4 linked regions of the Macaca mulatta genome follow. The protein of the gene in region 1 interacts with the protein of each later gene in a biochemical or structural test. Links are inferred from orthologs where the notes say so. Each region holds a gene or a part of one and is shown in the gene's direction. Other genes may lie near its edges. The genes, in order: SIAH2, DLST, SNCA and EGLN3.

Evidence for each region.
Region 2: the proteins of SIAH2 (region 1) and DLST form a complex in vitro, tested with the Homo sapiens proteins (2 studies listed by BioGRID, with this or other methods). The link is inferred for Macaca mulatta from reciprocal best matches to the Homo sapiens genes SIAH2 and DLST.
Region 3: of the proteins of SIAH2 (region 1) and SNCA, one has a biochemical effect on the other in vitro, tested with the Homo sapiens proteins (4 studies listed by BioGRID). The link is inferred for Macaca mulatta from reciprocal best matches to the Homo sapiens genes SIAH2 and SNCA.
Region 4: the proteins of SIAH2 (region 1) and EGLN3 form a complex in vitro, tested with the Homo sapiens proteins (2 studies listed by BioGRID). The link is inferred for Macaca mulatta from reciprocal best matches to the Homo sapiens genes SIAH2 and EGLN3.

Annotation. Positions count from the first base shown.
Region 1 is NC_133407.1:53,796,151-53,803,975, reverse strand, and holds the start of SIAH2 (E3 ubiquitin-protein ligase SIAH2), read left to right. Parts: upstream 1-2,564; 5' UTR 2,565-3,192; coding exon 3,193-3,609; intron 3,610-7,825. UniProt on the Homo sapiens protein: E3 ubiquitin-protein ligase that mediates ubiquitination and subsequent proteasomal degradation of target proteins.
Region 2 is NC_133412.1:148,086,314-148,093,633, forward strand, and holds part of DLST (dihydrolipoyllysine-residue succinyltransferase component of 2-oxoglutarate dehydrogenase complex, mitochondrial), read left to right. Parts: coding exon 1-2; intron 3-123; coding exon 124-198; intron 199-724; coding exon 725-780; intron 781-2,193; coding exon 2,194-2,305; intron 2,306-4,107; coding exon 4,108-4,260; intron 4,261-4,620; coding exon 4,621-4,697; intron 4,698-5,586; coding exon 5,587-5,684; intron 5,685-7,320. UniProt on the Homo sapiens protein: Dihydrolipoamide succinyltransferase (E2) component of the 2-oxoglutarate dehydrogenase complex. The 2-oxoglutarate dehydrogenase complex catalyzes the overall conversion of 2-oxoglutarate to succinyl-CoA and CO(2).
Region 3 is NC_133410.1:99,138,220-99,145,539, reverse strand, and holds part of SNCA (alpha-synuclein), read left to right. Parts: intron 1-3,805; coding exon 3,806-3,948; intron 3,949-7,320. UniProt on the Homo sapiens protein: Neuronal protein that plays several roles in synaptic activity such as regulation of synaptic vesicle trafficking and subsequent neurotransmitter release.
Region 4 is NC_133412.1:107,059,566-107,067,591, reverse strand, and holds the start of EGLN3 (prolyl hydroxylase EGLN3), read left to right. Parts: upstream 1-3,845; 5' UTR 3,846-4,176; coding exon 4,177-4,533; intron 4,534-8,026. UniProt on the Homo sapiens protein: Prolyl hydroxylase that mediates hydroxylation of proline residues in target proteins, such as PKM, TELO2, ATF4 and HIF1A. Target proteins are preferentially recognized via a LXXLAP motif.

The DNA of each region.
Region 1 (7,825 bases):
GTTTCAAAAGTCGCCAAGAAAGGAGGAAGAAGAAAGGCGACTGGGAAGACCAGCCTGGTCACTTATGTGGCTCACATAGCAGACCTATCCACTCTCCCCCTGCCTACCTTCAGCAACTGCCCAGAGTTTTTGGTTTCAGTTTTGTTTTTTAATTACCCTGGTTGACTTAATCAGGTGTGCAATGATGTGAAGAAGGAAGAAAAGAAGAAATTTCTCTATACTAGGGGAGGCATCTGCCAGGGTAAGAGTGGATAGGTTCGTTGTATTTTTAGAAAAATAAACCAAATTCTCTCTGCAGAGAATTGCTTTTCCTGTTCTTTGTTTCAACACCTCCCAAACCAAATTGCTTTCTGAATGACCAGGTCCTATCTAGCTGGAATACTTAAAGCTCATGTCAACCGGGCAAGCGTGAGGACTCCAGTCTCCTAATGAGAGCTAGTAAGAAGCCATGGGAATGGGGATCATCACACCAAGAGGCTGGAAGTGGAAGGAAAGAAAATGCATTCCAGTAATAAATTCCAAATGCTTTGATTTTAAACTAAGAATGAAAAATATTACATTTTCTCCAATAACAGTAAAACTGTAGGTGATTTTTGTGTCATCACTTATGTTTTGTGTCATAAAAAGGTGAAAATGAAATAAATAGAATATGATTTAATTTTTCTCTCTAGACCAGCTAAGGAAAGAGTTTATGTAAAGTTTGCCCACAAAATTCAGTGCTTTATTATAGGCTGAACAACTGTCTTCTGACTCTGTTGAGTGTGCTAATCTTAACTCTTTAACCAGACTATAAGTAGGAGTCAGGCATAATTTAGAGGCATACAGACTAGTAGTTAAGAAGAAGGGCTCCGAGCATGTTCCCACATTCTCAGCTATGTGATCTTGAGCAAAGTAACCTATGTCTCGGTTTCTTCAACTGTAAAATGGAGATAAAAGTAGTATTCATCATATAGAGTTATGATAAATACTTAAAACTGTTCATGCCCAACATACGGTGGGCACTCAATAAACATTAATTATATTATGCTCCCCACCTATCCAAAAACTCAGGTTCAGCCATGTTACTAAAGAGCTTTCAAAAACCTACAAAAGCTAGTGTTGTTACTTGTGTGTTCTTAAAAAACCAAACAAAACCCTACAGTGGTTTACCCCATCATTGAGGTAAATGTCTTATTAAGCCAGTTGAGGCTCTGCTTGTGCTAACCCCACACCCCTACGCTCCCGTTATATCCCCTCCAAGTCCCAATGCAATCCCAGAATTCATTCCTTCACTCTGTGCTTTTTAGCTCCTGCTATAATGCCTTCCCACCCCTGTGGTATCTGAAATCCTTCCCCTCCCATGAGTGTTTGATTATTGGGCCTTGCTCTCTTACTAGAATGTAAACTGTATGAGAACCATTCTCAGAGCTCCAATAGTAGCTGATACGTGATAAATGCTCAGGAAACATTTACCGAACGATTGAATATCTACAACTATTACGTTTTTTCAAGATTTATACCAAATTCCATCAATTCCATGCATGCAGTCATTCTATAGAAGCCCTTTGTAAGATTAAACTTTATTTCTTCTGGGCTCTAACGCCGTATTTCTTGGACAAATTGTATTCATTCATATTAAACATCCACTAATATTTTAAAAAGATAACAGCTAATGTTTAAATAGTGCTTATGATGAGCGAGGTTGTTTCAAAAGTTTGAAACATATTAAACTCATTTACTCCTCACTGCCCCACCTATAAGATAGGTATTGTTTTTATTCCACTTTTACAGTTGGAGGGAACCATTTTTCACTCAGTCTTAATAGTTGGTCCTTACCTCTGTGGCTCCTACAAATACCGATTTCCACCTAGGGTAACCCTTTCCCCAATTCTGGAATCGTTGGCTTAAGCAAAGTTTGCAGAAAAACAATTTAACTCGGAGCACACAGTTACATTTGGACATGCGGTTCACTCCGGGCTACGGTGCCCTCTCTAGCGCTTCTGCTGGGCGCGCAGGGTGGCCTACAGCTCGCAACAAAGACTCGGACTTCGGCCGGCTCTTTACCAAGCGGACTCAGCGCCCTACACTGGAGGCTCACCTACTGTCTTCAGAGACCTCACGACCCAACCCACGTTTCTGGCATTCCTAGATGATCTCGAACTCTTAGCCAACGCTGTCCATGAGCTCCCTCCTCGGCTATACAAGCCAGGGGCGCTTAATTCAACGAAGCTTCCTCCTGGTCCGCTGGGAAAGGAATAAAGGGGGCTTACCTCCTCCCCACCGCCCCCCTTCTTTACTCAACCCCACCGTTAACTGTACAAAACTAGGTCCTGTGCCCCCTGCAGACCCAACTCGGCCCCTCGCCCTGCTCCCACCCAATGCTTCCCGTCCTGACTCGGAACACAGAACTCGGTTGGCCGCGTCGCCCTCCTCGCCTGCACGCTGGTGACTCAACCCTGAGAAGACAAACCTCTCGGTTTTTTCCGACCAGTGCAGGGGCGCCGGCGCCCCGCCCCTGCCCGCCAGCGTACTGTCCCACCCACCGTCCACGCCCCCGCCCAGCCTGAAGTTGCCCTTCTCGTTTGAGCTGAGGGACGCGTCGGCCAGGCACCCCGGGGTGTGGCCAGAGGACTTCGGCGACGCCTTCCCCGAGAGTGGCCTCCCTCGCCAACCCGGAAAAGACAACCCCGCGGGGCTGCGGCGAGCCAGGCATGCTCACTGGCGCAGGCCCGGCCCGCAGCCCGAGCAGGAAGCGCCGGCGCTAGGCGGCCCCCTGCGCTGCCAGCTGGAGCCGGGCGGAGCCAGCGCCCCGGCGCAGGGTGGCTCTGCCAGTCCCCGCGCGCCTGGGCGGCCGCACACGTGTCCAGGCGTCACGTCCGCGCGCGCCCCCGGGGCTTGCGTCAGCGGCCGCTCCAGAAGCGGGTGGGCCGGGGCTCCTTGCGCACCGCTGGGTTCGGGGCCCGGACGCCGCTGGGAGGAGGGCATCGCGCGGGGTCCGACGCGGAGGCGTGCTCGGAACGCCGGGGGCTGGGGAGTGCATCAGCGCGGTCCAGCCCTCCGCCTGCCGGAGGCCGAGAGTCTCTGCCGCCCAGACCTGGGCTGGGCGCCGTGGCGTTGCCTCGGAGCTCGCTGCCCGCGGGGCGCGCACCGCCTTGACCCGGGCGGCCCCGCGGCAGGCAGGCGCCCGCAGTTCCATGGTTGGTTCGGAGCGCGATGAGCCGCCCGTCCTCCACCGGCCCCAGCGCTAATAAACCCTGCAGCAAGCAGCCGCCGCCGCAGCCCCAGCACACTCCGTCCCCGGCTGCGCCCCCGGCCGCCGCCACCATCTCGGCTGCGGGCCCCGGCTCGTCCGCGGTGCCCGCCGCGGCGGCGGTGATCTCGGGCCCCGGCGGCGGCGGCGGGGCCGGCCCGGTGTCCCCGCAGCACCACGAGCTGACCTCGCTCTTCGAGTGTCCGGTCTGCTTTGACTATGTCCTGCCTCCTATCCTGCAGTGCCAGGCCGGGCACCTGGTGTGTAACCAATGCCGCCAGAAGTTGAGCTGCTGCCCGACGTGCAGGGGCGCCCTGACGCCCAGCATCAGGAACCTGGCTATGGAGAAGGTGGCCTCGGCAGTCCTGTTTCCCTGTAAGGTAAGGTCAGGGACAGCCCGCGTATCTCCGCCGGTGACCTCAGGGACTCCGGTATCCTCCAGCCCACTGGCAGGCCCGGAAAGGCGGGCGGCATCTCTCATTTAAAAAAAAAAAAAAAAGAAAAAATGTTTACATTTCGTCTACCCTCCCTCAAACCCACTTTGGGAGTAGTTCTGGGTTGACATTTACCGAGTTAATTGACAGTTAATTGACAGTTAACAGATTAATTGGCATTCGCTGGTCGTCAGAACATCGTAGCTCACCCGGCCCAATGCCCGCGTCCTCTGCAGACATGTATTCGGGTACGCTCGATAGGGCTGGGCCGCACCAGTAAAACTTGGACCGAGAAACTGACTATGTGGGGACTGAGGAGGGAAGAAACGGGCGAGCTAAACGCACCCTTGTCCAGCGCTCGGCTTGGCTGAATTGATACTGGAGTCCTGCACCCCGCGCCTACAGTCTGCGCACCCCTGACACGTGGGAGCTCTCGGGAGTGTAGCTAAAAAAAGGGCGCCTACAGCCTGTTTTCTTCTAGCTAGAAGAAAACCCTGCAAGCCACGCCTTTTTCTCTCCTAGCCTTCCAAGGACTGGGAAGGACTGAGGAGTTGTGGCTGCGTTTTTGTACTATGTGGGGTGAAAACAGTCAATCAAGAAATTAACAAGGGCACTCAAGAGCTGTTGTTACAGTTGTTTAAAGCTCATCAGTTCATTTTTTATTTAATGTAAAAAGTTTTCAATGCCCTTGCGAAAAATGCAAGCCAAGACAATAAGTAAAATGAAAGACCAAGACCTCTCCCCTCCTTTCCCACCATTGTTAGGTTTAGTGTGTATCTTTTTAAACTATATATACATACACCCTCGCAGCTAAATATAGAATCATAGATGTCAGTGTATGTCAGGGAGGTTTTTTAATACCCACACATAGATGTAAGTTTTTCTCCAAAAATGGCATCTGCAGCTTGCTGTTTTTAAATTCATATTATCATACATATTTCTCTATGCCTGAAACCTAGTCGACTTCACTGTATTTTAAATGACTGTATAGTATTGCATTGTGTGGTCATATTGTAACATTTGTTTACCTTCAGGAGCAGTTTCACAGACATACTTGTCTACATTACTTCATTATGACCTAGAACTATACTGTAAAGTTCATTTTCTGAAATTAGAAGTAGAAATATTGTCATTAATACTTTCCAGTTTTTTTGTAAAAGTAACTTGCTCTGCCTCTTGGGCCCTTTAGGCTTTCTTGTATTTCTCCTTGGTGCTGCTTATTTTATAGGACAAGAGCTCATTTTTAAATTAAAAATAATCCACCAGAGAATTCAGGCGTGGGACTCAGGTCAGTAAAATGAGTGCTTTAATTTGGTCTGCTGCCCTGCTGCAAATGAGGTTTAAAATAGCATATTTAAATAAGAGTTTGAATCAGTGTTTGGACTAGGGTGTTTCAGGCAACCTTAATAAATTGCTTTTAACCCCTCCTCATATAATGCTTACTAATTCACTCAGCCCAGTTTCTCAAAATTTAGATGAAGTATTTGCATAGTTGTCTTAGGGTTGTGAAAAAGGAGACAAAGGTTTGGTGGTAGTTAACATAGAGTGGCTATTTGATGTTTGAGATATATTGCAGGGGTGGGGGATGCCCCACAGGATTTCTGGGGAGCCATTTTCTCACCCCTTTACTTTCCCTTAAACCCGCAGTGGCTAACAAAAGAAATGGCTTTTAGGTGAGTTTTAGTTCACAAATGAGCATTTGATATTAGTCAGTAATCCATAATTTGTTTTTAAAATGTAACCTTAGAATTGTGTTGTTCCCAAGAGAAAGGGAAGGAAACAGTTATGCTATATGGAGCATGAAGTTTCACTTTCAGGATCTAGAACTCTGGTTCCTATGAAAGCATATGTTCTTTCCTAACGTGAAACAGGCTAGTGAAATCAACCTTGAAGAGTAGTTCTGGGAATCGGGGGTTCTCAGCCTTTCTGTACATGTCAGTGATTTTCTGAGTCTCTATTCCATAAGAATGCAGTTGGGCAAAGCCATTACTTTGCAAGCTGAAATTTAAAAGGGCCAACTATTCCCCTAAAGACCAGGAACCAAGCTTAGAATGTGATCTTGGGGATGCTTTTGTGTGTGCATGTGTGTGAGTTACATAAAGCCGGAGTGTGCATGCCTCACCTTTGGTTGATCAATAATCCAAACTTTTGGCAGGGCAGCTCAGCCAGTTAGTCTGGACGAACCAAACTTGAATGTATACATAGGCCCAGCGACCAACCAAGATGTGCTGTAGAGGATGAGAAACAACAGGGAGTAGTCGTAAGGCCTGTATCAAACTTAAAACAAGGTAGGTCTGTTTACCTAGCCCTTCGGCCTACAGTTGGAGGCTCCTAGAAATTATGGCACTGCCTTTTCACTGTGCCCACCTGCTCTCAGAATCTCTCATGGGCTGGCTCATGTGAAAAAAACCAACATTGAATAAAGTAACAGAGTCCACATCTCAAGAGGTGCCTGGCATTGTCATTGTTTGCCTGAAAGACCACCTCCCAGGGCCTTGATTTCCTCATCTATATATATGAGAGATGAGTCCGCTGGACTTCTGAGGACCTGTAGCTTCTAGCATTCCATGAAAAGAAGGGAAGCTATCTGGAATGTTATTGGATGCTCTCTATCTGCCAGCTACTTCACAGGGGTCAGCTTTTACTAGTTTGCCTTTTTTTTTTTTCCAGATGAGGAAACTCATGCCTACAGAGTGGTTAAATGTGAAGTGACTTGTCAAATCACACAGCTAGTAAGAGGACCAGTCCAAGCACCTGCATCTCAAAGGCACAGATGTTTTGTCCTACACCTTACTGCTTAGGGATTTCGAATCTGAGTATATACTCAAGATTCTGAATCATAACTCAAGGTTGACACCAGTAACAAAACCATCTGGTTGGATGAGTTCACCAGATGGGCCTCTTATGGGACCATCCCAAAATGACAACATACATACTCACTATGAAATTCATTGGCAGGAATTTTGTAGGCCATGTAGGGTAGGAAGATGGGGGGTAGGGGAAACCTACAAACCTAGTATTTTGTGGGATATCATCACAGCTCTGGACTGCTTCAGTTGGCCAAAAAATGGATGTATTGCCAAATAACTATCCTACTTAGGTGTAGGGTAATTAATTAAAGGCTAGAGTGTTGCCAGCACCTTTGATATGGGGAGCCAGGTGCATTATTAGCTCAGATCTTTGGGTGTGGTGGCTCATGCCTGTAATCCCAGCACTTTGGGAGGCAGAGGTGAGCAGATCACCTGAGGTCAGGAGTTCGAGACCAGCCTGGACAACATAGTGAAACCCTGTCTCTACTAAAAAAACAAAAATTAGGGCCAGGCTCAGTGGCTCACACCTGTAATCCCAGCACTTTGGGAGGCTGAGGCGGGCAGATCACCTGAGGTCAGGAGTTTGAGACCAGCCTGACCAACATGAAGAAACCCGGTTTCTACTAAAAGTACAAAAAAGTTAGCTGGGCATGGTGGCGCATGCCTGTAATGTCAGTTACTCAGGAGGCTGAGGCAGGAGAATCACTTGAACCCGGGAGGCAGAGGTTGCAGTAAGCCGAGATCACGCCATTGCACTCCAGCCTGGGCAACAAGAGTGAAACTCGGTCTCATTTAAAAAAATAAAATAAAAATTAGCTGAGCGTGGTGGCAGGCACCTGTAATCCCGGCTACTTGAGAGGCTGAGGCAGGAGAATTGCTTGAACCCGGGAGGTGGAGGTTGCAGTGAGCTGAGATTGTGCCACTGCATTCCAGCCTGGGTGACAGAGCAAGACTCCATCTCAAAAAAAAAAAAAAAAAAAATGGAATGTCTAATTGTGTATGGCTTTCTTCCACTTGGGGTCTTTTTTAATCCATTCTGTGGCTTTTTCCATGCCTGAGAACTTTTGACATCCTGTGCCCAGACTTAAACTCACCCCTTCAGTGTGTGGGTTAGGGGGAGAAGTGAAGGTTGACACATTCATGTGAACAACATAGTCTCCTTTACCATCCAACTGTGCATTTTGCTATCAGACAAGTATTTCTGTCCACAACTGTGAGCAATGCTAATCCACTCCAGCCTTCTTACACTGTGATAATACCCTTTCTTTGTCCTCTCTGAAAGTTTTTAGTAGCATGTCTCCAAATAATTATTGAATTTGAAAGCCTCAGCCAGACAAGTCTTCTCTGTGGTT
Region 2 (7,320 bases), on another chromosome or scaffold:
CAGTAAGTACCTGCCTTCTTGGGAATGGAATTTTATGGGAAGAGCAACAAGTGATTGAGTTTAATTAAAGAAAAATAATGAAAAATGAACTACTTGTGATTTTCTTTTTTGCATTTTTCCTAGAGGATGACTTGGTTACAGTCAAAACCCCAGCATTTGCAGAATCTGTCACAGAGGGAGATGTCAGGTGGGAGAAAGGTAAGATTTAGTTTCCTCTCTTCTTGTTTTTCTTTTTGTTTTTGGTTTTTTTTTTTTTTTTTTTTTTTTTGGAGACAGAGTCTCACTCTGTTCCCAGCCTGGAGTGCAGTGGTATGATCTCGGCTCACTGCAGCCTCCACCTCCCAGGTTCAAGTGATTCTCTTGCCTCAGCCTCCTGAGTAGCTGGGATTACAGGTGCCCACCACCACGCATGGCCAAGTTTTTTGTATTTTTAGTAGAGATGGGGTTTCACCATGTTGGTCAGGCTGGTCTCAAACTCCTGACCTCAGGTGATCTGCCCGCCTTGGCCTGCCACAAAGTGTTGGCGTGAGCCACTGTGCCTGGCTCCTCTCACTTCTTAAGTTTAAGTGCTTTCTAAAATTCTCCCCTCCGCCAAGGATAGTTGTAGAATTTATAGCTCTGCCCTTTTCTTTACATATGTACTTTCCGCTGGCCCTGTAGGAAACGGTTCTTGTAACATACTGGAGGCTCCCCGCTAACAGGTAGCCTTTGATTGTCTTTTCAGCTGTTGGAGACACCGTTGCAGAAGATGAAGTGGTTTGTGAGATTGAAACTGACAAGGTAGGCTTATCTTATATTACCAGTTTTTCATGGGCTTCCCTTAGTTAACCTAATGAAACAGGGACTTAACCGTTGTTTAGAGATAATTTTTAACTAGCTCTAACCTCAGTTGTAAAATTATTGGATTTGTTCAATTTAAAAAAAAACTTTTTACATTTAACTTCCTTTTTTTTTTTTTTTTTTTTTTGAGACGGAGTCGTGCTCTGTCGCCCAGGCTGGAGTGCAGTGGCCGGATCTCAGCTCACTGCAAGCTCTGCCTCCCGAGTCTATGCCATTCTCCTGCCTCAGCCTCCTGAGTAGCTGGGACTACAGGCGCCCGCCACCTTGCCCGGCTAGTTTTTTTTTGTATTTTTTTGGTAGAGACGGGGTTTCACCGTGTTAGCCAGGCTGGTCTCGATCTCCTGACCTCGTGATCCGCCCGTCTCGGCCTCCCAAAGTGCTGGGATTACAGGCTTGAGCCACCGCGCCCGGCCAACTTCCTTTTTTTTTTTTTTTTCTGAGACGGAGTCTTGCTCTGTTGCCCAGACTGGAGTGCAGTGGCCTGATTTCAGCTCACTGCAACCTCCACCTCCCGGGTTCAAGCGATTCTCCTGCCTCAGCCTCCCTAGTAGCTGGGATTATAGGCGCATGCCACCACACCTGGCTAATTTTTGTACTTCTTATAGAGACAGGGTTTCGCCAGGCTGGTCTCAAACTCCTGACCTCAGGTGATCTGCCTGCCTCTGCCTCCCAAAGTGTTGGGATTACAGGCGTGAGCCACCGCACCTGACCTGCATTTAACTTTAAATTGTTTGCTGTGTGTGTACTATGTACTTCATTTAGTAGCTTTAGTCTTGTAGTGTGTGGTGATGGGGTGAGGAGGGTAAGTAAGCTGTTTCCAGTTTTTCCTGTATCACTTGGAAACCTATTAACTGAATATTGCCTGAATGTTTCTGAGAAAGGACAGAAAGGGTGAATCTTCACAATAGCGTTGACTTGTCATCACCTTTGCTCTGAAATTGTGGCCTTAGGTGTTTGTGTGCAGGGCCTTATATATTGTGTTACCACTCTTGTGACTCATTGGAGGTTTTTGTTGTTGTTGTTGTTTTGAGACGGCGTTTCGCTCTGTCACCCAGGCTGGAGTATAATGGTGCGATACTGGCTTCACCTGCCAGGTTCAAACGATTTTCCTGCCTCAGCCTCCCAAGTAGCTGGGATTACATTTTTGTAGTTTTTAGTAGAGATAGGGTTTCACCATGTTGGCCAGGCTGGTCTTGAACTCCTGACCTCAAGTGATCCACCTGCCTTGGCCTCCCAGTGTACTGGGACTACAGGCATGAACCACCGTGCCCGGCTTCGTTGGATATTCTATACAGCTAATTTTCTAATGCTGGATAAACATTTGGACTTCCTCCATCTGTCTTCCTCTTCCAGACATCTGTGCAGGTTCCATCACCAGCAAATGGCGTGATTGAAGCTCTTTTGGTACCTGATGGGGGAAAAGTCGAAGGAGGCACTCCGCTTTTCACACTCAGGAAAACTGGTGGTAAAGAAGTTCTCCTGGTGCTCAAGGTCTCCAGTGTTCCCTCTTGGGATTGGGACTGAGCATAATGTGCTAATTCCCTGATATGTCAAAGACTCTGTCATTCCAGCTGCCCTTAGTTGAGGGAATAAGGGGTAAATTTATATATAGTGTGAACTTTAAATGTCAAATTCTAGAAGAAAAGTTTATTTTTAAAAAAATAAACCTCATACTCTGTTCTTTCCATGGGTGTTTCTTAGCAGGAGCTGAGAAACTGAACCTTTTCTTATAGATACACAGATTGAGCATACCTAATCTGAAAACTCAAAATCTGAAATGCTCCAAAACTGAAAATCCAAAATCTGAAATGCTCCAAAACTGAAAATCCAAAATCTGAAATGCTCCACAACTGAAAATCCAAAATCTAAAATGCTCCACAACTGAAAATCCAAAATCTAAAATGCTCCACAACTGAAAATCCAAAATCTGAAATGCTTCAGAACTTTCTGAGCACTGACGTAATGCTCAAAGGAAATGCTCGTTGTCTATTATGGGGAATTCAGTGTTGTTTCTTATCACATCTATTCTCTCATATCTCTAGGAAGGGTTGGTATTTCTTTTGGGAAGAAATGAGAAACAATTTGTACTAGACCTGATAGGATTAGAGATTAATAACTGTTTATCTGACTCTTAGTGAAATTTTATAACCACTAAAATGTCTATTTCTTTTTCCTAAGCGAGAATCATACTCGTAGACCAACGAGTCACAAATGTCTATTTCTTTTTCATTGTTACACTAATAATGCAGATCGACCACATGATTGAGGTTAATCAGGCAAGACCAGAAGCTCAGAGTAGAAAACATGTATGGTAGAAGGCTAGGAAATAAGGGTAGTCCTCCTGTTGCAGAAGTTTGTCTTAGCACTAACCCTGGATGTAATATCCAGATGGGTGAAAAATAGAAACAAACATTTCATTTAAAGTTGTGAGATTATTACTTGGCCACCTCAGTGATTTATGAGTCATCCTGGATGAAGCGCTTTTTTAAGCCTAAGTCAGCCCTCGATGAATTTTTTTTTTTTAATTTTTTTTTTTTTTTTTTTTTGAGATGGAGTCTTGCTCTGTTGCCCAGGCAGGAGTGCAGTGGCCTGATCTTGACTCACTGCAACATCTGCCTCCAGAGTTCAAGTGATCCTCTTGCCTCAGCCTGTTGAGTAGCTGGGACTACAGGTGCGTGCCACCATGCACAGCTAATTTTTGTATTAGTAGGGACGGGGTTTCACCATGTTGGCCAGGATGGTTTTGATCTGTTGACCTCGTGATCCGCCTGCCTTGGCCTCCCAAAGTGCTGGGATTACAGACGTGAGCAACTGCACCCAGCCTATTTTTTAGTAGTATTCTTGCATATATAATGTTAGAATAGAGGATGGAGAGTATCAGTAATTAGAAATACGTTTATGTATGCATTTCAATATTTTAAATTGCCTAGACTTTTTTTTTTCTCTTGGAAGTTTACATTTTCTTGGGCTTGGTAGGTGCTTTGAAAGTACTTGCTGAATTTATTCAGTAGAAACCTGTGAAATCGAGGAGGGAGCTAAATTGAGCCAGTTATCTGATGGACATTCAGGGACCCTGAGGAATAGAGAATAGTGCCTTATGTCATTGTGTGTGTGTCTCATAGTGCCTTGCATATTGCCAATACCCAGTAGACATTTGTTACTTGATTGGAGCTAGAGTTTTTGCCACTAAATTTGGCTTAGTAGCTGTGATTTGGTTGCTTTCCATTTCAGATAGTGCCAGTGGCATCTACTTTTCTTGTTTTTCAGCTGCTCCTGCTAAGGCCAAACCGGCCGAAGCTCCTGCTGCTGCAGCCCCAAAGGCAGAACCTACAGCAGTGCCAGTTCCTCCCCCTGCAGCACCCATACCCACTCAGATGCCACCAGTGCCCTCACCCTCACAACCTTCTTCTAGCAAACCTGGTAGGCTTCCAACTCCCACGTGTCATGTGGGGGAACATCTCGTCTAATATGTTGCCTCAGGGTAAACTCTAAGACTAATCATGGTTCTGAACAGGCCAGGTTGACTGCCTTGTAGAAAGAATTCTCGACTTTGTATCTGAAGTTCTGTTTTGCATCTCAGCTTTCTGTTACTAGCTGTGTGTCTTTAGGCTAGTCACTTAATTTATCTGAACGGATTATTCATCTGTGAAGTTGGAGTGATACTAATACACCTCAGAATATCTTGAAGGTTAAGTAACAGGACATATGAAAGCACTGGCACAAACTCAGTAGATGTTTCTTTCTTTGTCTGATGCCACTTTATCCTCTCTTCATTTTCAGTGTCTGCAGTGAAACCCACTGCTGCCCCACCACTAGCTGAGCCAGGAGCTGGCAAAGGTCTGCGTTCAGAACATCGGGTAAGCCTCTGCGGACCACTTCCAGGAAAGAGGCAGGGGGCAGTGTTGAGATTAGTGGAGTATGGGTGTGGTGGTGCCTACCTTTGAATGGCTGGCAGCTCATTCCCTCAACCTTGACAAAGGGAGTTTAGAATATAACTTCTTCATAGTCACATCACCATCAAATGATAGAACTAGAACCCGAGGTCTTCTGAACACTTGTTCAGTGGCTTTCCTGCTATATTATGCTCAGTGAAAGCCTTGGGTAAGTTAAATATTTGTAGGGGATGGTAGCTTAGTAACTCACCCCCTTCCTCCCACGATGTCACACACTTCAGAGAGGTGGTTTAGTGAGCTCTATTCCTATACTTCCGGGATACTTAGCTGTAGCTAAGGGATAATACTCAGTAGCAATAGCTGTCAGGTGCAGACATAAAACCTCAAGGAAGTATGGTCAAGAGTGTGGTTCTTCTGCCTGAGAATACTTCCTAAAAATATGATAGCCTCAAAAGTTTGTTGCTTATGAGGTTCCGTTCCACAAATAGCTATTGTCATGCAAGTCTTTAGCAATAGAAAGTGCCCTTTTTCTTATGATTCTTATGTTGGCTAGACTACACTACACTACATTCTTTCATAAATTGGTTTTGGTTTTTAAATCACCGTTTCTGAGCCTTCATTCTTGGTCAAGCTTCAGGCACATCTGAGTGAGTAGTTTTGGCCTGTGTTTGCATGTTTTTGCTTGGAGGAGAAAGGGCCACTACAGGAAAGGGAAGCCTGGAGCTCTTGTTTTACTTAGGTACTATAGCCCTTGGCCATCCACTCGTGGCAGGCCATGTTCTTTCTGACTACACGGGGAATGCTTGACCCAGAGAGATCAGATTATCAATGCTTGTTCCACTCTCGCTTTCAGGAGAAAATGAACAGGATGCGGCAGCGCATTGCTCAGCGTCTGAAGGAGGCCCAGAATACATGTGCAATGCTGACAACTTTTAATGAGATTGACATGAGGTAGTGTTTCTAGCCCCTGTTATCCCCTAGGCCCTTTTTTCTTAGAGAACACTCGAACTTGCCCCTGTCCTTATCTCCTTATCTAGTGCTGATTCTAAAACTTAACTTGTCAGGGAAGAGGTATTTCTTTGCTTTGTTTATTGTTTTTTTTGTTGTTGTTTTGTTTTTTGAGACGGAGTCTCACTGTCTCCCAGGCTAGAGTGCAGTGGGGCGATCTCGTCTCACTGCAAGCTCCACCTCCCAGGTTCACGCCATTGTCTGGGTTCACGCCATTGTCCTGCCTCAGCCTCCTGAGTAGCTGGGACTACAGGCGCCTGCCACCACGCTCGGCTAATTTTTTGTATTTTTTTAGTAGAGATGGGGTTTCACCATGTTAGCCAGGATGGTCTCGATCTCCTAACCTCGTGATCCATCCGCCTCAGCCTCCCAAAGTGCTGGGATTACTGTCGTGAGCCACTGCGCCCGGCCTGTTTATTGTTAACTTTCACAGAGCGACCCACTGGCTTCTTCTCTAATTGGCTTTCCTGATACTATGCCTGCCTTCTCCATGACCTTAACCTTAGCCTTGGCTAGGTGTAGTGGTTCACACCTATAATCCTGGCACTTTGGGAGGCCGAGGCAGGCAGATTGCTTGAGTCCAGGAGTTCAAGACCAGCTGGGTAACAAGGTGAAACCCCACCTCGACAAAAAATACAAAAATTAGCCAAGTGTGGTGGTGCACACCTGTAGCCCCAGCTACTTGGGGGGCTGAGATGGGAGGATCGTTTGAGCCCAGGAGGTTGAGGGTACAGTGAGCTGAGATCATGTCACTGCACCCCAGCCTGGGTGACAGACTGAGACACCCTGTCTCAAGAAAAACCCAACAACTTAGCATTTTAGACTTTTAAACCTGAATCTTGCGATTTCTGATAAATGAGAGTAGTCATAGTTGTACACTCTGACTAGTGTCAGGTTGCCAAACAGAGATGGGACAACCAGGCCAACGTGGTTTATGCAAAGGTCTCCCACTCGGGATGGAGAAGCCGTGACAGCATGCCGAGAGCCTGGGCACCACATCCTACTTCTTTTACACAGGGGTTGCTCCTTACATGTTTTCCTAAGTGATTCAGAATCGGGTAGATGAAAAGGCAAAGATAGGCTAGGCTTGTCTTTCATTTTACCCAGCTTTGATAGTAAAATGGAAAACAAGTTGTGTTTTTAACTAACCTTAGAATGTTAACCAAAGGTACTAATTCACTGGGTATGCCCATTTCTGTAGTGAGCTAATTGTTGACTCACCTGTTTTCTTCAAGATTTTGATGTGTTCAGGTATCAGCACTGTCAGGAAGAGAAATTTGACAAACATGTTTTGAGTGTGTACTGTGTACAGAGTACTGTACTGTGGAATTCAGTGGGGTTATAGACTGGGCGCCATGGCTCGTGCCTGTAATCCCAGAGCTTTGGGAGGACAAGGAAGGAGGATCGCTTGAGCTTAGGAGTTGGAAACCACCCTGGGCAACATAGCGAGACTGTCTCTACATAAAATTTAAAAATTAGCCAAGTGAGGGCTGGGTGCAGTGGCTCGCACTTGTAATCCCAACACTTTGGGAGGCTGAGGTGGTTGGATCACATGAGGCCAGGCCAGGAGTTCGAGACC
Region 3 (7,320 bases), on another chromosome or scaffold:
AGAATGCCAAAATGTAAACACATCTCTCTCTCTCTCTCTCTCTCTCTCTCTCTGTGTGTGTGTATGAGAGAGAGAGAGAGACTGAAGTTTGTACAATTAAACAACATTTTATAAAATGTTTTCTAAAGGACAGTGGCCCACAATCCTAAGTTTCCAACATTGTACAATGTTGGGAGATTCTGCATATTTTATTTTCTCTTTGGTATATTAAGGAATCTGAGATGTCCTACAGTAAAGAAATTTGCATTACATAGTTAAAATCAAGGTTATTCAAACTTTTTGATTATTGAAACCTTTCTCCATTAGTTATTAGGGTTGAATGAAACTAGTGTTCTACAGAAAACTATGGGAAATGTTGCTAAGCAGTAACGACATGGTGATTTCAGCATGGGCAATATTTACAACCATTACACCCATGAACCACCCTGGCAGTAGTGAAGTACCAAAAATGCTGTCATAACTAGTATGGCTATGAGAAACACATTGGGATAAATCAGCTGCTATCATAATCATTCCTCTCCCACATCAGATAAATGAATTAATTTTTTGAATAGGGTTATTTAATATAAAGTTCTTAAGTCTAATTATGAGAAGAAATAAGACAATTACTTCAGTGGTTAAAGAGAGAATAATTTGCATATTTTACCTGATGTAAAATGTTTGCTATGGGTACATATTAAGTGCTAACTAATTGTTAATTGTTCTTGTTACAAGTCTTAATGCAGGGAAACAAGAAACTATTACATAGTACCTAATATTAACTTCTAATATTAAATAAACAATTTCCCCCAAATTCATCCCATTAGATTTCTTTTCAAGGGGGCGGGGGAGAAATATAGACTTCAGTAAACTTGGGCTGGGAGCTTTCTACCTACAAAGTTCAAGGAAAACAAATTATCCTAGTTAGATAATATCAATGAAAAATCCACCAACTTAAATCCTAGCTCTTTGATCTCGGGAAATTATTTCAGTTATCAACTTAATGCATCATATATGAAAATGTATTTAATTAAACTTACTGAATGATATGTTTTTAAGGTACTTTAAAAATAAACTATGATATAAAGTTACTTATTTTTCATGCAAGTGTAGTATAAAGAAATTTCTGACACTGGAGATTTTCTGAAGGTTTTGATTCTTGTAAATTTATTACATCATAATGAACAAAACTAATTTTCAACATGTTATGATCTAAATTTCCTTAGTAAATTGTTTTAAATTTATTTTCTTTAAATCTATCATTTGTATAACAATTCAAAACTAGATATTCTTAATTTTATAATTTTGTTTAATGTCAAAGATTAGATTTTGCTATATCTATTCTAAAAGTTCGTATCACATTTCCTTTTTGGATTTTTATTTTTAACTTAGTTAAAGTCAAATATAAACCTATTACTTATATTAATGCAGATATTAGAGAGAGATACTAAATTCATTTTAGTATATTCTAAATTATTTATCTACTATAAAATAATATAAAGAAAAATAAAGTAGAATCCCTGATTTCAAAAAACTCAGTTGCTGAAAAACAGATACCATTTGCTAGACTCAAAATGTACTAATATGAGTATGTCTCTTTTCCTTTTGTTTTGTCACCGTTCGTTTGGAATGTCAGTGAGTAGAGAAATAGTGTGGAAGGCCCTCGGGGGAAAAATAGAGGTTCAAGGTCAGCAGAGACCCTACTAGAGAAACCAGTTCTACAGAAATGTTTTTAAATGTGTCGATGATTGCTACCTGTATACTCTGTTATTTTGTCATGTAACCATTTTATTTATTATTATAATAATAAAAGAGTGAAATTATAATAATGTGCAGAGTACATTTTACTGTGCAGTGTATTGCATTAAAACTAGATTAAAATTTATACATCTATAAAAGGTTATCTAGATATTATAAAATTTATGGCTGGATCTGTAAAAAATTCAAAACCTATTTTTAATCTTGCTTCAAGATTTTATAACAAGAAAATGTTCATTTGAAGCAAAATTTTCAATTCTCGTCCTTGAAAACGAAAAAAATGACAACTTGAAACACATAATTGACTATTTTTAAAGGATCAACATTTCAGAAATGTTTTAAAACATAAAATTTTCAATACAGCTTTTCACTGGCATTTAAATCGAACTTTGAATTGTAAATAGCTCTTACTCTTAAGGAGACATCAGCCATATCCTTAGAAATGGCACAGAGTTGGTAGGTAGTTGTACAAAATTCTAGCCTAAAAGACAAGTAGGGAGCAACAATACTGTGGACCCTTTCTGGTCTTGGGCTGTGTGGCTATGTCAGGCTTCCCCACATTGCCTGAACTAAGGAGAAAGCCTCTTGTCCTTACAGGCCCCTTAGCTTCTGTGACTTACATAGTCTATTTGAAAATGAATTGCTTTGTCCACACCATTTAACTATTGGCTTCTTCAACTGGTGAGATGAAACCTATACAATAATCATGTGACTAGCACGAAAGAGCTGACAGGGTGTAACTCCTCTCAGACTGAGGCTTATCTGGGGAGTATAAATCATATCAAGAAAATGTGCCTTCATTTCCTTAGATGAGTGTCCCCATCCTCCACTCTCCTCCACTGTTCTCCTCTCTGCTTCTATGATACCAACTTTTTTTTTTTCTTTAGATTCCACATGAGTGAGATTATGTTGTGTTTGCCTTTCTGTTTCTGGCTTATTTCACTGAACAAGAAAATTTTTGACATGAAATTAAATTTCTGCCTATAAACTCAATTCAAACTATTTACACTGTCTTCTCAAAAATGTTAACTTATTGTAATAAACCTACTGAATGACCGTATCACATTTTGTTTTGTGAAAACGAATTTTAAGGGTGCTCAATAGCCTCTTCATTTTCATACTGTCCAGCTCCTTTGCTCCTATTAAAATTACTGCAAGTTAGCTTTTAAGAACCCTATGTTTCACTACCTGAAGTTCTATAAAAAGTTCCAAGTTCCTTCAAAACCATTTCTTATGCTGTCATTCATACATATGTGATAATACCGTGTCTGAACACACAGATAAGAAGTATGGGCTGGGTGCGGTGGGTCATGCCTGTAGTCCCAGCACTTTGGGAGGCCGAGGCAGGTGAACCACCTGAGGTTAGGAGTTCGAGACCAGCCTGGCCAACATGGTGAAACCCTGTTTCTACTAAAAATACAAAAAAAATTAGCCAGGCATGGTTATGGGCACCTGTAATCCCAGCTACTCAGGAGACTGCGGCAGGAGAATAGCTTGAACTCAGGAGGTGGGGATTGCAGTGAGCTGAGATTGTGCCATTGCACTCCAGCCTGGGCAACAAGAGTGAAACTCTATCTCAAATGAATGAATGAATGAATGAATGAATGAATGAATGAATAAATAAATAAATAAATACAAGTATGTATTGTGTTGTTTAGAATGTGTGGTGGAAATGAACTTGCTGAGTGAGCTCAAAGGATTGGCACTGAATTGAAATAAAGAAATACTCATGTTGAGTCTGGTTCAACTATAACTGCACCTGTAAGAATTGCTTTCCTTAGTATAAAATAAATCCAAATCACTCATGGCTTTACATTCTGGATCATTAAACTTGAAGCACTTTTTAATACTGCATGACTTTAACAAAAATATCTTAGCCGAGATTCAATGTTTGGTTGAGCCACACTCACTTGGACACCTTGGTTGCTTGTTTCTTCTGACCCCTCAGTTGTCTATGGCATGTGTAGATACAGGTGTATGGAAGTCGATGGCTAGTGGAAGTGGAATGATTTTAAGTCACTGTTATTCCACCACCCTTTAATCTGTTGTTGCTCTTGATTTGTACCAGTGGCTGAGAAGACCAAAGAGCAAGTGACAAATGTTGGAGGAGCGGTGGTGACGGGTGTGACAGCAGTAGCCCAGAAGACAGTGGAGGGAGCAGGGAGCATTGCAGCAGCCACTGGCTTCATCAAAAAGGACCAGTTGGGCAAGGTACGGTGTGTACACTTTGTGCTACATTTATAAGCTGGTGAGATTATGGTTCATTTTCATGTGAGGCCTGGAGGCAGGAGCAGGACACTTACTGTGAGGAACAGCTACCTGACCCTCCCCTTGTGAAAATGTGCTACCTTTATATTGGTCTTGCTTGTTTCAGGCATTAACCCAGATAAATGCCATGCAAATTTTATAATTATCATGATTGTTTCAATTTCTAGAAGAAAGTTAATGAAATAAAAAATGTAGTAAAATGTCAAAGGAACAGTGACATTTCAAAAAGAATGAAGACTTTCATGTTAACTATAAGTCTTGGAATTTCTCTTCCTTGGAATAACAAATCTCTTTGTGCCTAATTTCTTAATTTCCAAAATAAAATTCTTTTACTTGATTTCTTTATAGTGACATCATCTCTTATTAAATGGCATATTTGCATATTACATAACAGTTCATTGCCAAATACATGTTTGTGGGAACTAAGAGGTTTAAAATATATACCAACCAGAGATCATAGTTTTGAGGTAGATTTTAAAATTCTGAGAAGAATTTTGACTGAATTTTTTTGACAAACATGGGGCACAAATAAGATTATACCAAAGATACTATAACTTTCATTTTAAATATGAAACTAATACGGTATGAGGTGTCAACAATGATGAAATTTTACAAATGTCACCACTACAACAGCAAAATGATTTTTGCTTTTTCCCTGTCTCCTTGCTATTTCTTGAATAAATCAAGCATACCCTTGCCCTGACACATTACTGGGGAGGCCTGCCTTAATCTATATAAAATTGGAGCCATTCTTCTCACCTCTGGTATTCTCAGTCTCCCTACTCTTTCTTTCTCCTTCCTTCCTACCTTCCTTCCTTCCTTCCTTCTTCCTTCCTTTTTCTTTCTTTCTTTTTTCCTTCCTTCCTTCCTTCCTCTCTCTTTTCCTTCCTTCCTTTCTTTCTCTTTCTTTCTTCCTTTCTTTCTTTCTTTCTTTCTTTCTTTCTTTCTTTCTTTCTTTCTTCCTTCCTTCCTTCCTTCCTTCCTCTTTCTCTTTCCCTTCCTTCCTTCTTTCCTTCCTTCCTTCCTTCCTTCCTTCCTTCCTTCCTTCCTTCCTTCCTTTGTTTTTCTTTCTTTCTTTGCCAAAGTGTTCTTCACCTTTAAATATAATAAATAATTTGCTTACTTTAATGTATTTTTTAAATTTTATTTCTCCCTTCTATTATGTAGGCACCATGAGAGTGAAATATATTTATTTTGTTCACTGATATTTCACAAGTGTCTGGGAGAGTTTCCAACTTAGAGTAGACAATTAGCATATGTTTATTAAGAAGGGAAGAAAGGAAGGAAATAAGTGAGTAAGCAGAACAACTTTTATTTATGGGTCTTTTATAATCATATCCTTAGTATAAGAACAGTGCTATTCAGCTATCCAAAAGTTAAAATCAAAATGATTTTGGATGAATCTCTCCAAAATTGTGAGAAAGAAGTTTTATTTGCTGGCAAACTATTCTGGGTTGTTTCCACTTCATGTAATCCTAAGTAGCAGCCTTACCTTGATAGCCCATTAAAACACTGATAATAAAAAGGCAGAACAAAAATATCTGTGATATATTTAGATTTACTACATGAAGTTACATGTCTAGTGTCTGGTGCAATGGATGTAATTATGGCAAATCCTGACTGGGCTTCTAGTGAAGTTCTTCAGCTAATGCTTGAATGCATGGTTGGTCATGGTGATACCCCTTTGTACAAAATATGCTTTTCAAATAATCTTATTAGGGATAATAATTATATTAATTCCTGGTTTCCACCTAAAATTATAATTCTATTTATAGCTTTGTAAGATTTCATAAGTTAAGAGGGACCTCAGATTAAAATAGTACACAGGCAATTAACCAGTTTTGTGTCTCAGACCCTTTTCACAATCTAATAGAAGCTATGGACCCTCTTAGCTTCAGAAAAATGTGTCCTCACATACACACATCAAAGGGCTTAATGGGAAGTCCACTGACAGACCCTCTGTTCAGATCAATCTTCTGATTGTACAGATGAGGAAACTGAAATCAACAGAGGATGTGGGTAGTCCAAGATTGTACAGTCATTTGGAATAGACTGGACACCAATAGTACTTTTCCAGCCACTATATCACTTCCCCAAGCATTTCCTCAAAACTTACCTTCCTTTGGGTCTTTATACATTCAGTTATGGACAACTAGATTTAACTAGAGAATTTTATTGCTTCAGAATATTAAGCAACAGGGAAACATGTACCATCCTTTCTTTATTCACCTGCATTTAACGCATACAATATAAATTGCAAATGAAGCATGAAAGTGCTTAATCTTTTACAAAACTGGGTTTGCTTTCCACCCATCTAAAAATACTGCTATTTATTTTAATATTTAAAGCAGAAATCTAAATGATGTGACAAAATTAATCATTTGGAGATATTTCCCTTATAGGTACTAGAGTATCTTATTGATTTCTAATATGAAAATGAAGTCATAAAACCTAGAAATTGCAGCATAGTTGTGGAAATAAACATTGGACTGAGAGTGAAAATGGCTAGTCTTCATCTCTGCTCGTACACCACCTGACTGGATAACCTTTTGCAGATCTCCTAAAAGTCTTTCTCATATAATGAGGAAGCTCTACTAGAAAATTGTTGAAGTCTAATTTAGCAATAAAGTTCTGAGTTTCTAAAATAATTCAGAGAGTACTCTAATAAACGTCTGCAATTGTGGCCACATCTATGGGATGCTAAAAAATCTGGATAGTTTCAATGAAAGTATTTAATTTGTTCATTATGATATTTGAAATAATTTATTTCATTTTTTAAACTCTGATCAAAATGACCCTGGCAACTAGAAATAAGCAAAATCTTTTTGCTTGAAATGCTTATTAATGACCACATTGAGACACTCATTCATCATTCAAGAAAGAATGTTTACTCACACTGTGCCAGAAACTTGGAGGAAGAGGGATGTGACAATTAGGGATACCAGATGTCTAGCTTGTAGAAGTGGATTAATGGCCGTACTTTAAGATCAGGAACACTGAAAGGGAGTAATGGCACCGGTTTTAACCTTTCATGCCCTTTGAGGGTATTTGGCCCATCACCCTCTAGTTGATGAGGGGGAAATTTTCCTCTCCCTTCACAAATATGGGGAAATTAAATTACGTAATTCTGAACAACCAATAAATCAAGAGTAAATCAAAGAAGATACCTGTTTTGTGAATTTGATCATATGAATATAGCTGCCCTTATTAATAATTTCTGAGTATAAGACTAGTTAAAGGACAAATGAGTTATCTTGAATTATAAGAATTTGTTTTACAGAACAATATTAACTCTTGTGTTTAGAATTAGAATTA
Region 4 (8,026 bases), on another chromosome or scaffold:
CAAATCCATAGAGAAAGCAGATTGGTGGTTGCTAGGGGCTTGGGAGAGGAGGCAATGGGGAATAACTGCTTAATAGGTACAGTCTTCTTTTGGGGTGGTAAAAATGTTTTGGAACTAGAGAGAGGTGGTGGTTGCATAACATTGTGAATGTACTAAATGCTAATGAATTGTTCATTAAAACATCATAAATTTTATGCTTTGTGAATTTTACCTCATTAAAGTAAGAATACATACATACATACATAGGACAGTGTTATAGTTGAGAAGGCAGAAGCGTCCCATGCTTCCTCTTCCACTCAACTGAGACTCTTCGGTTTCCTCATCTGTAGGAAAATGAAGTTGAATTAGGTGACCACTAATATCCCTTCCAGTTCAAATTTAAAGGTAAGGAAACTCAACATTTTTCTTTCTCCTCTACTCCTCCACATGCTTGAAAATGACTGCATCTGTACTGCAGATGCACACTGGAAGACAATGTTGCTATAATTAAATTACAGGGAAATTAATTTGTTTTAGTTATTATGGAAAGGTATTTTAATATTCATTATTATGACACAAATTAGTGGACAAATAACTAAAGCAAATGCACTTTAACAATTAGCTTGGGTTTTCCCTCTCTGATGCTCAGATCCAGAGCCTGTGCCTGGCTCCAGCCTGTCTGTGTTCCTCCATGCAATCACACACTATGATTTTTGCCAGTCACAGTATCTCTGATTCCTCTGCCAAATGCAGTGCTGGCAGCCCTGAGCTGATCGGGAGGTCCTTGATTGATTAATGAGTGCCCTTGCCAAGCAGGGATGGTGCCAAGGGACTGAATTCCTCTCTAAACTGCCCATGCTTTACAACCAATGTAATCTAGAACGGTTGTCACTAGAACTCGCTTAGACTATTGCTCTAGTTATAACTAGTTACAATTTTACTTTGAAGTCTTGGGTCAACATGTTCATTCTGGAAGGTGGGTGTATAATTTTCTGTATTTTATTGACCACCACCCCTCTACCAGTGATTGTCGGCTTCCATTCCTTTGTAAATTCCCTCCTTCTCATTCCTAGGAATATAAGGTGTATCTACAAAAAACCTTCAGCTAGAAACATTTCAGCCAGTTACTAAGGATTATCTGTCACCTTCCCCCTTTTTGATTCTGTCCCTCTTCAGGGATATCTACTTCTGAGATTTACACAGTCCCCAAAGCTGCAAAACGCACAACCCAATGCCAACCAGGGTCTACATTCAGGCTGCCTTAGACCAGGTTTCTCCTGGTCACCCTGTTATCCAGAGTGCCCCTGGAGGAGATCACTGCAGGAGGCAAATCTGTTCCTTCTGTGCAGGGTTCAAGCAGAAGTGGAGAGGAGGGCTTGCCTCCTTTTTGGTACTGCACTCCATTTCACTCCTTGCTGCAATTTTTTTTTTTTTTTGAGGCCAATTTCACTTTTGTTGCCCAGGCTGGAGTGCAGTGCCATAATCTCAGCTCACTGCAAGCTCCACCTCCCGCGTTCAAGTGATTCTCCTGCCTCAGCCTCCTGAGTAGCTGGGAGTACAGATGCCTACCACCACTCGTGGCTAATTTTTGTATTTTTAGTAGAGGCGGGGTTTCACCATGTTGGCTAGGCTGGTCTCAGACTCCTGACCTCAGGCGATCTGCCCGCCTTGGCCTCCCAAAGTGCTGGGATTACAGGCGTGAGCCACTGCGCCTGGCCTCTTGCTGCAATTTAACAGTCCTCCAGCTTTCACTTGACGTCTCTGGCTCCCACCACTCAAATGTCCACTGCTCAGACAGACAAAGCCGAGAGACAAATGCCCTGTAGAACTCCTAACTGCTCCCTCCACTGGCCTCTGTTTTGTGCTGGGTCAGGCTAATTTGCCTGACTCTTTTCCAGTGACTTCTCTTTGGGGAGGCTCCCAGCCCCTTTTGCAAATAGATCCTTCCAGATAAGCCCAGACATACTGAATCCCAAGTGGAGGCTGCTATGGCTCAGGGTTAGACATTGAGTTCCCAGTAACTATTTATTAGCCATCCACTATGTGCTAAACACTGGGGTTCCAAGGATGATGGTCTCCTCTCATCATGGAGCTGCCTTGGGAATTTAGACAAGAGCTCTTTGAGCAGTGATGGCCTATTCAAGCCTTTACCCCAAGGAGGGGTACCTCCTGCTCAAAGGTAATACCAAAGGTGCCAACTAATCACTGACTTGGCAGAGAACCTCTCTCAATATAACTAGACGTTTCATCAAAGTTTCTCAAGCACTCCACCATTGACTGCTCCCCCTCAACATCCCCCAGGTTATTACTCAACCACGTGCCTCTGTCTCCTTCTTTCCAACTTGTAGCAGTACCTTTCCTCTTCTACTCTTTGTTCTTGTCCTGGATGTCATTCCCTTTCTCCCCTCAGAGGCAGAGAGGAGAGGGCTGCTGGAGGAAGAAGAAAAGTGAAAAAGCTGTAGAAATTTGTTTCCACAATAAACAATATCTGAAAAGCCTGTACATTCTTTTCTTCAACTTAAATAAAGAACCTGAGTGTACACTAATATGAAGTAAAAAAGGTGCAAATAGGCCGGGCACAGTGGCTCACGCCTGTAATCCCAGCACTTTGGGAGGCCGAGTGGGCGGATCACCTGAAGTCAGGAGTTCCAGACCACCCTGACCAATATGGAGAAACCTCATCTCTACTAAAAATACAAAATTAGCCGGGCCTGGTGGTGCATGCCTGTAATCCCAGCTACTTGGGAGGCTGAGGCAGGAGAATCGCTTGAACCTGGGAGGCAGAGGCTGTGGTGAGCAGAGATCACACCACTGCACTCCAGCCTGGGCAACAAGAGCAAAACTCTGTCTCAGAATAAATAAATAAATTAATTAAAGGTCCTTTTTTTTTTCTTTTTTTCTTTTCTTTTTTTTTTTTTTTTAAAGGTGCAAATAGCTTTGCATGCAATTTATGAATTTTTCTTTTCTTTTTTTTCCTGATTCTGATCGCTGGTGTTCAGTAGGAAAGGGAATCAAAACTCCATAAAGCAAATTGACTTATCTGTAGATAACCAAAGTCTTTTCAGTGGTGTCTGTCCCTCTTGTGAAAGTACAGCTGCTTGTGGGAAAAGTAAGAGACCTAGAATACAGTGTACCTTTTGGGGGACATACTTCTGTTACAGAAGCATGTGATTAATTTTGAAGGTAGAATTTCGGAACATCATATTTTAATAGGAAGCTTGAAAGATAAGTAGAGGAAAACATCAAGCAAAGCAAAATACACCATTTGCAGAGTTCAATCAGATATGACTCAGCATTTCTTCATTGTGCTCATCCCCAGCTCCTCAAGCACATAGTGCCTTGCACACAGTAGGGGCTGAGGGAAATATTTGTTAGTGCATTAATTGTAGTTAAAACTAGATACCTCCTAATCTCTCAGTGGCTTGAACTGGGTCAAACAGCAGAGGAATGGGGTAAATAAGGAAAGACACCAGGTAAAGGTAGAACAAGACCACTGCTTAATAAATATATTTGTTTTTGGGGTTATTATTTTGCTCAAAAGTCTATGAGATGACCAGCCCAGAATGTGGCAGTTAATTCCATTTACATTTTCAGTGTGGGATCCAGGTTTTCAAGTTTATTATGTGATTTTATGCAAAACAATATGCAAATCCAGCGCATTCTAAAAATTCAGTCTGTTCTCCAGCCGCTCCCCTGGTCACAAACAACTAAGGTTGGCGCCGGTCTCTTTGGGATCCTTCGTGGAGGGGCAGAGCAGGCGGGGGTGACGGGCCGAGGGGCGGGGGAAGGGGCGGTCTGGGAGGCGGTCCCGGGGCGGGGCCCGTGACGCGCGGACTCGGCCGGCTTAAGGGCCGGACCTCAGCGTCTCCCGGCGTCTGGCCGCAGTCGCGGCAGTGGTGGCTTCCTATCTCCAAAAGGCGCCCTCCGACTCCTGGCGCCGCGCTGCTCGCCGGGCCAGTCCGGAAACAGGTCGTGGAGCCCCGCACCACTCCCGCTGGTTCCCGAACGCGGATCCCTTCTTCTGAGAGTTGCGAGCAACTTTCCCTTGTCCCCGGGGCTGCAGCGGCTCGGGGACCGTGGCAGCCGCAGGTTTCTGAACCCTGGGCCACTCTCCCCGTGCCTCGGCTTCGCGCTCGTGTAGATCGTTCCCTGTCTGGTTGCACGCTGGGGATCCCGGACCTCGATTCTGCGGGCGAGATGCCCCTGGGACACATCATGAGGCTGGACCTGGAGAAAATTGCCCTGGAGTACATCGTGCCCTGTCTGCACGAGGTGGGCTTCTGCTACCTGGACAACTTCCTGGGCGAGGTGGTGGGCGACTGCGTCCTGGAGCGCGTCAAGCAGCTGCACTGCACCGGGGCCCTGCGGGACGGCCAGCTGGCGGGGCCGCGCGCCGGCGTCTCCAAGCGACACCTGCGGGGAGACCAGATCACGTGGATCGGGGGCAACGAGGAGGGCTGCGAGGCCATCAGCTTCCTCTTGTCCCTCATCGACAGGCTGGTCCTTTACTGCGGGAGCCGGCTGGGCAACTACTACGTCAAGGAGAGGTCTAAGGTAGGACGCGCTCGGCGCCCTGCCGCAGCTGCCCCCGCGGGGACGGGAGGCACTCGGAGTCCGTTGTCTGTCGCCTTCCCAGGGCTGCAAGCGAACTTTGTTTTTTAACCAAGAAGTCAGCCTGGTTTGTCTCTACTTGCTGCTTCACCCCACCCCTCGCCCCAGCTCCTCTGAGCGAAAGTCCACGCTAAGGGGCTCAGGTGAATCATGATGATGACCTTCTGTTGACTTTGAAATATTGGCTCTTGTGGGTGACAAAAGCCAGACAAGCTGTGGCTTTGGTCCGCTTTTAAGACAAGAGGTTCTCAAAGATCCAAAGGAGGGAAAGGGTATTAGAAACACTGTGTATCATCTGAGACACACGTGTCCTTATAATCTTAAATACCTACTTTAAGGCCACCTAATACTGCCCTTCATTGTGGTCAGAAGAGATTTCTACAAAAGCACTCAGAATTCTGGAGGCAGTTGTGATTTTGCCATGTGGCAGTTGGTTTGTGGAGTTGGGCAGGTGTGAAAGGGTAAAACTCTACTCCAGAATGCTGCTTCTGCCCTCTGGGACCCAGCACATTGTTAGACCATCTTCTTGACCGAAAATTCTCTCCTGGTGCTTAGCCCTACACCACCACCTTCCTTTTCCTAACTATCAATTGACAACAAAGTCCACTCAAAACAACCAGTTAAGTGCTCACGAGAGAGTAGTCAAGCACCTCCGGAAAGAAACAGTGTTTTTGTTCACATAGCAGGAAGTGACTCCCTGGGTGGTAATTTATCTTGGAAACACAGGTAGATTGGCAGGAAAACAGGAACATGTAGGTACCGCGATGTTGGTGCATGTACATTACTTTGGGATAGGCTTTCTCAGTCTTTCCTCAAATGATAGTTGAGCCAGTTCTCCAGTGGCAATTCTGAGTGACTTGCGCTTGTCTTACGGTGTGGTCAAGGGACATTCAGAACTATGGAAAACTTTTACTGAAACAGCGAAGCAGAGTATACCATGGCATGAGAGGTACCACTCTCTGACACCTATGTACCACTCTTTGACAATAAATAAAGTATTTCTCAAATCAGTCTCAAGACTGATCCTGTCTCAAAACAGACCATTGTTCTCTCCTTTCTCTAGTACACGGAGAGGAACACTCTGAATAAAGGCTAAGTGATGAGAATTGGAAACGTGTGGGAGTGAAGGGGTGGAGATGGATGAGTGCAGTGGGGAGTCATAGTTTGTTGTACAACTTCCAAGCCAAGAGGCCATGAATAGAGTATCTGAAAGCATCGTTATTAGCGCACCCAAGTAAAGTAAATCTTAGAAGATCCTGCTTTCTAAATTTTACTTTGGGGAAAAAAATTATGTTAGCGGAACTCTGTAGAAGATTGATGTTAAAGTGTTTCTTCACTCTTCTTCCATTGTGTTGGTGGTGGACTAGTCATTTGTCTTTGACTAGTTTGGTTTTTGCATTAAATGACCTTGCTGTCTTCTGTGGTGGGGGTTGGGGGGGAGGGGAAGGGTCAGCTTCAGTGTTGCTGAGGTGCTGGTAGTTTTACCTGAAGAGCAGAGGGCTTCTTATCGGGTTTTTGAATGTCTCTTGTAAACTCAGGTGTTAGGAATTTTTCTTCACCATTCTAGGAGCTGAATTTGCTCTGAGGGACGTCAGAATTAATTGGTATAGAAAGAGGCCACTGACATTGAAAGTTAAATATTTTTATTTAGCTTTGACTTAATGGATAGGGATAGGAGTTCAGACTAGAATTTAACTCAAGTGGAATGAAAAACACTGTGTAAGGGTAAGGGAAAGATCTTGTAGATATGATTCATCAATTTTAGGTTATCTTTTGGGTGGAATGAAAAACTTTTCAGGTGACCCTGTCAGAAGGTGATCATGAGTTGAAAAGAAAATTTATCCTGTCCCACCCCCAGATTTCTAGGTTTACTTTGGCTGGTTTGTCACAAAACTCCCTGCCCTTTAGATAAATCACCTTTCGATTGGAATATTCCCTGGCCACTTTAGAACCAAATGCAAACCAGGCTTGAGCAAACAATTAGTGTAGCTAAATGTTTTTTAAGTGTGCTTTGCTTGTATACAGAAGTCTCCTTAGTGATGTCTTGTGGTCTTGGGTTTCTTGTTTGAAGTTCATTATTAAAGTCATCATAGAAACACTTTCCGTTTCTACATGATTTATTTTGGTTTCACCTTAATTTATTCCTTCTTTTTCTTCACTCACTTTTTATCCCTCAACTGAGCTCCTTATTTTGTGCTGCTTTCCAGAGCAGTGACAGAGACCCAGTTTACTGGTGCATCCTTCACACATGTTTTCAAGAAAAACTAAAGTTTTAAATTTATTTATTATTATTATTTTTTGAGACAGAGTCTTGCTCTGTCCCAAGGATGTTGTGCAGTGGTGTGATCTCGGCTCACCGCAACCTCCGCCTCCTGGGTTCAAGCGATTCTCCTGCCTCAGCCTCCCGCATAGCTGCGACTACAGGAAGGCCACCACACCCAGCTAGTTTTTGTATTTTTAGTAGAGATGGGGTTTCACCATGTTGGTCAGGCTGGTCTCGATCTCTTGACCTCATGATCTGCCCGCCTCAGCCTCCCAAAGTTCTGGGATTACAGGTGTGAGGCACTGTGCTTGGTCCTTAACTTTATTTTTAACTTTTAATTAAGGTTATTTTCAAACACACATAAATATAAGAGGCTAATAAGCCCCCATCACCCAATTTCAACAATTGCCAATATGTACATTTATTTTAGAACAATTGTTTTTTAGCTACTTAAAATTTCTTGAGGTTTTGCTTATTCATACACTTACCTAAATTTGGGTTTTTTTTTTTTTTTGGTTCTTTGCTGGACTTTGAAAGGTCATTGGATAATATAATATTGTCCTTTATCTCAATGAAGCAATAGCAAAGGCATTGGGAGTAAAACAGAAAGACGCACTGGACCTAAAATTGAAATTGTGGAAGAATATAGAAAGAAATATTAGATGGTTCCGCTTCCTGCCAAGAAAGTGGTTAATGGTCAGAATTTATGTACCTCGTCTTTGCTGGAGAAAATTCCAAGGGTGTTGAAGACCCCTTGGGAAGTGGTTGCTGTAATGTACAGCAGTATGGCGCCCCCTAACTTCACGCATGATCATTGCTTTCAGGCTAGCAATGGATTTATCTGCTACTCCCTTTTGGAGATTTTAGACCATATCCAAGATAAATATTGGTCATATTTTGCTCCTTTTTCTTTGGCTGCCTAGATCTTGAAAAATGGCTGTTTTCCAGAGAATGTATAATTTTTAGAACCAAAAGTCCTTCTGCTTCAAACAGTTCACTGTAGACTCACTAGTTAGTGACACTAATAATAAGAACTACCTTTTATTGAGCAGTTTGTATTGTCTGGCACTGTGCTAAGCACTTTACAGATGCTATCTTGCTTAATCTTCAGAAACACAGTCTTAAACACATTGAGTGATTAAATACGTTGCCCAAAGTTTCAAAGTCAGTGGT